2 linked regions of the Macaca fascicularis genome follow. The protein of the gene in region 2 purifies or fractionates together with the protein of the main gene of each other region. This does not show direct contact. Links are inferred from orthologs where the notes say so. Each region holds a gene or a part of one and is shown on either strand. Other genes may lie near its edges.

Region 1 (4,239 bases), on a different chromosome or scaffold from region 2:
TCGAGACCATCCTGGCTAATACGGTGAAACCCCGTCTCCACTAAAAATACAAAAAATTGGCCGGGCGCGGTGGCTCAAGCCTGTAATCCCAGCACTTTGGGAGGCTGAGATGGGCGGATCGCGAGGTCAGGAGATCGAGACCATCTTGGCTAACACGGTGAAACCCCGTCTCCCAGCTACTTGGGAGGCTGAGGCAGGAGAATGTAGTCCCAGCTACTTGGGAGGCTGAGGCAAGAGAATGGCATAAACCCGGGAGGCGGAGCATGCAGTGAGCTGAGAACCGGCCACTGCACTCCAGCCTGGGCGACAGAGCGAGACTCCGTCTCAAAAAAAAAAAAAAAAAAAAAACAAAAAATTAGCCGGGCGTGGTGGTGGGCGCCTGTAGTCCCAGCTACTCAGGAGGCTGAGGCAGGAGAATGGTGTGAACCCAGGAGGCGGGGCTTGCAGTGAGCGGAGATTGAGCCACTGCACTCCAGCCTGGGCGACACAGCAAGACTCCATCTCAAAAGAAAAAAAAAAAAAATTAGCCGGGCATGGTGGTGCACACCTGTAGTCCCAGCTACTTGTAGGGCTGAGGCAGGAGGACTGCTTGAGCCAGGGAAGTTGAGGCTGCAGTGAGCTGAGATCATGCCACTGCACTCCAGCCTGGGTGACAGAGTGAGACCCTGTCTCAAAACAAAAATTTAAATGTAAATTTAAAAATGTATGTCGGATCTACATTTGGGAGTATTCTGGTTTTATATATATATATATATATATATCAGCATGTATATAATATTCATTCAACATGTATCCATCTATCCATCTTCATGTGTATATTATATATTAAATATAATATTATATATGATATATATAATATTGAATACAAGTTGAATGAATATTTTGCAAATAGATATTAAAATCAGATTTAGCTTCAACAAGAAAATTTCAGCCTTGAACTAGAATTTTCTGATCTAACCTGTATTACAGCTCCTTCACAAAAGGAAACTGGTACAAAAAGTACTACACTTTCTAACCAGTGGTCATATTATTTTTTTTTAGTTCTGGATTTTAAGAGGTCACATACCCTTCCTTTCACTTCCAGAGTCTCAACTGCTTTTGATCAGAAACTTCTCAAATTCTACAATATACATTTAGATTTAAAAGCAAAGTGAGCCTGGGCAACATAGTGAGACCCCATCCCTACAAAAAATTTAAAAATTAGCCTGGCATGGTAGATGCATCCTTGTAGTCCTCGCGACTCAGCAAGCTGATCAGGAATTCAAAGTTATAGCCAGCTAGGATCGTTCTACTTCACTCAGATCACTGCACTCTGCCTGGGTGACAGAGCTAGACTCCGTCTCTTAAAAACAAATTTAAAATATTTAATTTTTTAAAATTAAAAAAATTAGGCTGGGCACAGTGGCTCACGCCTGTAATCCCAGCACTTTGGGAGGCTGAGGTGGGAGAAGTGCTTGTGCCCAGGGGTTTGAGACCAGCCTGGCCAACACAGCAAGACTTCATCTCTACAAAAAAGAAAAATTTTTTAAAGTTTAAAAACTAAAGCAAAGTGATATTATTTAAAATACAGAATTGTAATTCAGGACTAACTAGTTCTACCTATTAACAGAGTACACCAAGCTCACAAAACACAATAATAAACAATAAGGATGATGACCACCATTCTTTCCAAGTAAAGCTGTTGCTGATCTCCTGTTTATAAGGCTCCAAGATGATTTTCAAGCCCAAGAAACACCCTGTATTTGACTCATTCAGCTATAGTTTCACTCAGACCCTAATGGGGAGGAGGGAGTTTTAAGACAAGCAATACCATTCTGAATTCCACCAACAACTCTACCATGCATTACTTGCTCTGTGGTTGTGGCTAAGTCTCTTAGCTTCCCTGTGTACCAGATTTGTTCAAGAGCAGCTAAGTAGGGAAGGAAAACAAAAGCCTCATCTGCCTGAAATCCAAAAATACACCCCAATGCTTTGTTACAAAAGACAAAATAATGTAAGTTGAAATGTTGCTGGTGAATTATCTTTATTAAAACAGAAGTCATCCCACCTCTCAAATACCAGTCATTGTGTCTGATTTCCGAATTCATTACAGGAAGAACTGTGTATGAAGTCATCCAAACACATGCACTCTCCACTTCCCTTAATTGAAAGTTGCTGATTTCCGAGGAGCCAGGGGCTGAGCAGAATGTAAACCTAAAGCCTAAATCAGTAAACAACCCCATCCAAACTGGCCTAAGAGGAAAGCGAGGTGGGTGGGGAGGAAGGTGGATGACAGGAGAAACTCGGCTGACCACTGCGCCAAGTCAACGCACTCACAGCTCTCGAGATGACACACACTCCCCTTCCCACCCTCGGGCTGTTTTGGTCCCAGCACCGTGGGGGCAGAACTCCAGAGAAGCAGCTCAAGCTTCAGCTGGGGCCGGGGACCCTCGGGCAGCCCGGGCCTGACAGACTGGGGGAGGCAAGCCCACCGCCCCCAGGGTGGACAGCCCGAGACAGCCCCAGGTGTGGCCTCGGCCGTAGTCCCAGCCGGGCTCCGCGACCCGGCAGTCTCACCCAGGCCTGTCCCGGGGACAGCTCCCGCCCCCCAGCTCGGTACCCCGGCTCACTGGCTTGGCTGATCCGCTGGATGTTGCCGCTGCACGTCTGGATGATGCTGCTGAAGTCCCGGAGCTGGGGCCCTGAGGGCCCCAGGTTCCGGTACATATCTAAGGGACCGTATGACATGACGAGGAGCTGAGACCTGCTCGCCCTACACCACTCTCCTACCGGAAGCAGCCGCCAGCCGGGACCCGCAGGCTGACGGAGAAACTGGGAAGACCAAGGGCGGGGAAGAAGCTAAGGCTGCGTGCGCACTAGTCCCGCCCCCACGCAGCGCGCACGCGTCCTCCCCGCCCCTGTTCAAAGTGCGCAGGCGCCGCTGGGACTGGGGCTGGGACTGTATCTTAGAGACAGGACTGCCCGGGGCTTGGGGGTTGCGGGGCGGAGAGATGACGTCACCTAGTTGGGGCTGAGATTGGATGAGCTTGGGTGGAGGTGTTGTTTCTCGCCAGGGCACATTGACAAGAGGCAAGAATTTTCGATTTGCATAAAACTGTACCAGATGATCTCAGCCCTTACATCCTATTCTGTTTTGAGAATTCAGGCCCAAATATGGGAGTATTCAACGTTGAAACTCAGACCAGGAACCAAATCGTAACCCGAAATTCCTCTCTACTTCCATCCCCAGGGTTTTGGTAGTATTTGGGGTTTCCAAACCGCTTTCATTTCTCCCTCCACCCCTCTTCTAATCTAAACAATAAAATAATAATGTTTATTAAGCACATATTATGTGTGAATCCTCACCGCAATTCACTTGTTCATAAGATTTTTCACAGCAAGGGACGATGCTCTATCTACATTTTTATCATTAGAATAGATAACGGAGAGCCGGTTTTTTAAATATTGAAGTAAAGTAACTCATCAATGTTAGCATTATTATTTTCCCTATTACCGATGAGAAAATTAAGACCAGCGAGGTTACTTCGCCTTGCTGAAGTTTGACTGCAAAAGCCAAACGCTAAGCTGACTCTCTCCTCACCTCGCTACTTCTCTAAAATTCATTCTCATCGAAATCTCTCCCAAATAGCTCGTTCATCTATATCCCAAGCCGGGATTTCTTGGAGAACTAGATTCCTAAAATTTAAAAATCATACCCTTAAATACTTTGGAATGCATGACCTCAATTTTCCTACAGAAGACTGCATTTCTGTAAGCGTATGTTAAAAGGAAAGACATAGGATTTTGGTTTGGGAGGAGATCAAGATGGTGAGAAGTGAAGGGGAACTGGCTGTTTCCTGTGTTCTCCACCCCACCCCAGCCTGCTTTGCAGTCTTTGGAAAATGCAAAGACGGAAAGCTGCTTGCCTGGGTGAAAGGAGACCCCAAGTGAATGAGCCTGTATATGGCCTTAGGGTTTTTTCTTTATTTTATTTTATTTTTTTTGAGACAGGGTTTCGCTCTGTCACACAGGTTGGAGTGCAGTGGCATGATCTCCGCTCACTGCAACCTCCTTCTCCTGGGCTCAAGAGATCCTCCTACCTCAGCCTCCAAGTAGTTGGGACTACAGGCGTGCGCCACCACGCCCAGCTAATTTTTATATTTTTTGTAGTGATGGGGTTTGGCCATGTTGTCCAGGCTGGTCTCGAACTCCTGGGCTCAAGTGATCACCACCAGCCTTAGGATTTTTTAAGGGTGGCTA
Region 2 (4,416 bases):
AACCTGAGGACAGAGAGTTAAGAAAGAGAGAGAGTGGAAAGAAGCAGGAGCAGAACCACAAAGAGTCTTGAAGGCCTCATTAAGGATTTGGTTTTCTCTAAAAAGTAATGGGATGCTGCTGAGGAGGGGTTTAAGTAGTAATGGGCATGGGAAGGAACAATCAATGTCAGTGTCCAGAATGAACCGGAGGTGGGCCATACGCTCTAAGAAGACTACTTGGGAGGCCGGGCACGGTGGCTCAGGCCTGTAATCCCAGCACTCTGGGAGGCCGAGGCAGGTGGATCACCTGAGGTCAGGAGTTTGAGACCAGTCTGGCCAACATGGTAAAACCCCATCTCTACTAAAAACACAAAAATTAGCCGGGTGTCATGGCGGGCACCTGTAATCCCAGTTACTCAGGAGGCTGAGGTAGGAAAATGGCTTGAACCTGGGAGACGGAAGTTGCAGTGAGCCGAGATCGCGCCATTGCACTCCACGCTGGGTGACAAGAGCGAAACTCCGTCCCAAAAATAAAACCAAAAAAACAACAAAACAAAACAAAACAAAAAAAAAAAAACTACTTGGAAGCTTCCTGCAGTAGTCCAGACCAGAAATGGTGGTAGTCTGGGAAAACGAGGTAAAAATGAAGATGGGGAAAGGTGAACAGACAGGAGATTTTTGGGTTAAAATGACAGAACCCATGTGACCAATCCAGCTAGTCCAGTGGGTGATTTGGATCTAGTTTAAAGCAATCATTCTCCCAAACCAGAGTCTTTAGACCCTAATTAAACACCTTTATGGGGGGCAGGAGCAGAACTGACAAATTTTACCAAATTTTACCTTTGTATAGGGCAGAGGACATGGATAGGGCAGAGGAGAGATATCAAGGGTTACCCACCCTCTCCCTCCCCCAGATTCCCAGCCTATATAACTGGGTGGATGACGGTATCATTCAGTGAGATATTCCTATCTCACTGAATAGGTACAGACAGTCCCTGACTTACAATGGTTTCACTTAACATTTTTCAACTTTACAATAGTGCAAAGGTGAGAGGCATTCAACAGAAACTGTACTTTGAGGACCTACACAACCATTCTGTTTTTCACTATCAGCACAGCAATAAATGACATGAGGTATTCAACATTTTATAATATAGGTTTATGTTAGATGATTTTGCCCTACTGTAGGCTAATGTAAGTGTTCTGGGGATGTGTAAGGAAGGTAGGCTAGGCTAAGCTATGATATTCGGTAGATGGGGTGTATTAAATGCATTTTCAACTTCTGATACTTTCAGCTTACAATGGGTTTATCAGAAGGTAACTCCATCGTTAAGTTGAGGAGCATCTACACAAGTTAGGTGGGCTAAGATCCTAGGTTCGGAATTGAAAAAGCTGAGTTTCAGGGGCCTTGATTTTAATAAGCTGTTGGACGTATTAACCTGAAACTTAAAGGGCAAGTCTGGACTGGGGGTAAAATATTGAGAATCACTGCCATATAGACAGTTGTAGCTATGGGCTTAGAAGAGATTGCCTGAGCAGAAATACCAGCAATGAATAACAAAGTAGAGGAGAGTGAGTCCGCAAAAGAGAGGTCTGAGTCAAACCAGGAGCTAGGCATCCAAGAACACATGTAAAGAGTGCTTTCCATCGAGGAGGCCATGGTCAACAACGTCAAAAGCTGCTGAGACATCAAATAAGGATTGAAAAGTTCAATTAAGTTGAGGGACAGGTTTCAGTGGGATGATGGGACAGAAATCAGACTGCAGTAGGTTGAGAGGTGAGTAGGTGGTAAGCAAATGGAAGACAATAAATATAGACAACTCTATCAAATTTCCTGCTGTAAAGTGGGAAGGGAAAAGGTGACAGCTGTGGGGGTGGGGGAAGGGTTTGTTTTAAGATAAAGAAGCTTGATTAAGAAGGAGCAGATGAATATACAGATAGGGTCTGAAGTATTGGTAGAAGGACTAGCCTTAAAAGGAGAGACCACGGGGAAAAGGAAGAGAAAGAAGCCAAACTAAATGACCTTTAAGATCCCTTCTGACTCTAGAATCTCATGACCTACAAGTCCCTTTAGATAGGGCTTTTGCATATATGCATAAATCTATGCAAACTTATTCAAAAATTCTGGTACAAAGAGATCAGTCAAGCACATCTTTCGCCCCCAGTGACGCAGTTAATGTCCTCAGGTTTATAACCAGTGTAATCTCTGGGCAGGACTCATCCCTTTAGAGCTTTTAGCTCAAGGCAGACTGCAATACAGCACTCAAGCAGCTCTATCTCTCCTCGCCAAATCCATCCTACCCAGCAACCCTAAAGCCTAAAGGAGGAAGTAAATTTAAAACCCTGAAACTACAGCATATCCTGCTGCATTGAAAGCGACTGTCATCCATAAAAACAAAACATGACAGCCCAAATCCATCCTCACTCCAAGCTAAAGCAAATTCCCGCCTGACCTGACAGTTGACAGGTCCCCCAGATGGCAGGGCTCTAACACTAAAAGTCATTGGCACCCCCTCCTCTTTCCCAACGACCTTTAATTTGTGAAGAGCCAGACATGGGTTCCTGATGATCCTTCCTACACCGCTCGCCCCGAATGCAGTAGACGTGCTCCCGGCACTTACTCCGGCGCCCCCTAATAAGCCCTCGCAAGGGGGTGCGGAAAGACCCCCAGAGCCAGTCAGAAGGGGCTTCGGCGACCGCGACCCTGCGGCTATGTGGAGGACAAGGGAAACAAGCCCCAAGGAATGGGAGAGGACGACCTGAGGCGCAGCAGACGCGGGTAACGAGGGGGTCATCTCCCCTCGAGGGGGGTGGAGTTGTTGAGGAGGGCTAATCCTCTGCCACCGCTCCCCTGCTACCCTCGAGTCCCGCTCTGGCCTCGCGCCCCATTGCTCGGATTCACTCCCACTCCCCTGGGGCCTCCTGGACCCCGGAGTGCCCGCGAGCCCGGCGCCCCTGCCTCGAGCCTGGGCTCCCAGACCGGCACTCACCCGGCCCGCCATCTTCGCCGACACGTCCGGCTAGGCGGCTGCAGCTCTGCGTTCGGCAAAGCCCGCCCCCGCCGTGCGCGCGCCCCCGCCGCCCGCCCTCGCGCAGGCGTGCAGCCGCGGTGAGGACGCGCGCGTCCCCGGAGTCCTCGCTCCACAGGGCGCGCGCGCGGGGCGGGCAGAGCGGCGGCGCCATTTTGGCTGGAGCTGCTAGGCGGTGGCAGGTGACCCTGTTTCCAGCGTGCGCGTCCGTCCGCGGCTCGCTGGAGGGCTGTTCCTGCGAGTCTCGTGTCCCCTGGCCGTTCGCGCCGGAATTTGTCGCAAGGGCTTTAATGCTTCGGATCACTTATCCCTTTGCCAGCAGTTGTTCGCCCTCGAATGTCCATTTTGCTCTGTGCTTCCAGACTCTCTGTTTTTTGTTTTTTTTTTTTTAGACGGAGTCTCGCTGTGTCGCCCAGGCTGGAGTGCAGTGGCGCCATCTCGGCTCACTGCAAGCTCCGCCTCCCGGGTTCACGCCATTCTCCTGCCTCAGCCTCCCAAGTAGCTGGGACCACAGGGGCCCGCCACCACGCCTGGCTAATTTTTTGTATTTTTTAGTGGAGACGGGGTTTCACCGTGTTAGCCAGGATGGTCTCGATTTCCTGACCTCGTGATCCGCCCGCCTTGGCCTCCCCACGTGCTGGGATTACAGGCGTGAGCCACCGCGCCTGGCCTCCAGACTCTCTTAAACATGGCCTTGCGGTTGAGAAAACCCGGCGCATTCCCTGGCTTCCCCCAGAAAATATCAGCTCCGAGGAGTTGGTTCTGAGTTCAAATTCTCCATGAATTTTCTCACTTTTCTTTGTAGGCGTACTTGTTTTCCTAGTTGCTGGAATTGTCATCGTTGGCAGTTTTATTTATGTGTAGCCTGGAAAACTCAGTATTTTCTTCAGATTTGAAAGCGAATTGTGATTATTTTTATTAAATATTTGTCTTTAATAAAGGCAACTTGTATCTTCGACAACCTTTTCATTCCCCAGCGTTGTTTCATCTTAGACACTATACATGGTAGAATCTGAATAAAATATAACCTAAATTTCAGCCTTGTTGAACCTCGATGTTTTCACCATACCATTCCTCCACTGGAATCTCAGAATATCTAACTTCAAGCAGCCTGGGAGGAGACAGATTCTGCCGAATGGATTCCCTTTTGCTTTTATTTACCCCACTATCATCTCTCTCTTCATATTTGCGCAAGACAATAGGGAATGATAGGATTTGTTCTCTTTCATTTCTCACAGTTAATTAGAATAAATCGGGTTTTTTTTCCCCCCAGCATGAGAAAAGAAGGGAAATAACTAGAAGAGCTGAGCATGCATAGTGATTTAAATTTGAGAACTAATAAAATCAGACAGTGACCTGAAGATGAACTAGGGACAGAAGAAAAAGTTAACGCCAGCCAGGCGGGGTG

What was found.
Region 1: the proteins of NSF (region 2) and STX12 purify together in Homo sapiens (co-immunoprecipitation; 4 studies listed by BioGRID and IntAct, with this or other methods). This does not show direct contact. The link is inferred for Macaca fascicularis from reciprocal best matches to the Homo sapiens genes NSF and STX12.

Annotation. Positions count from the first base shown.
Region 1 is NC_088375.1:207,290,452-207,294,690, forward strand, and holds the start of STX12 (syntaxin-12), read right to left. Parts: upstream 2,841-4,239; 5' UTR 2,728-2,840; coding exon 2,610-2,727; intron 1-2,609. UniProt on the Homo sapiens protein: SNARE promoting fusion of transport vesicles with target membranes. Together with SNARE STX6, promotes movement of vesicles from endosomes to the cell membrane, and may therefore function in the endocytic recycling pathway.
Region 2 is NC_088390.1:67,180,261-67,184,676, forward strand, and holds the start of NSF (vesicle-fusing ATPase), read right to left. Parts: upstream 3,024-4,416; 5' UTR 2,982-3,023; coding exon 2,970-2,981; intron 1-2,969.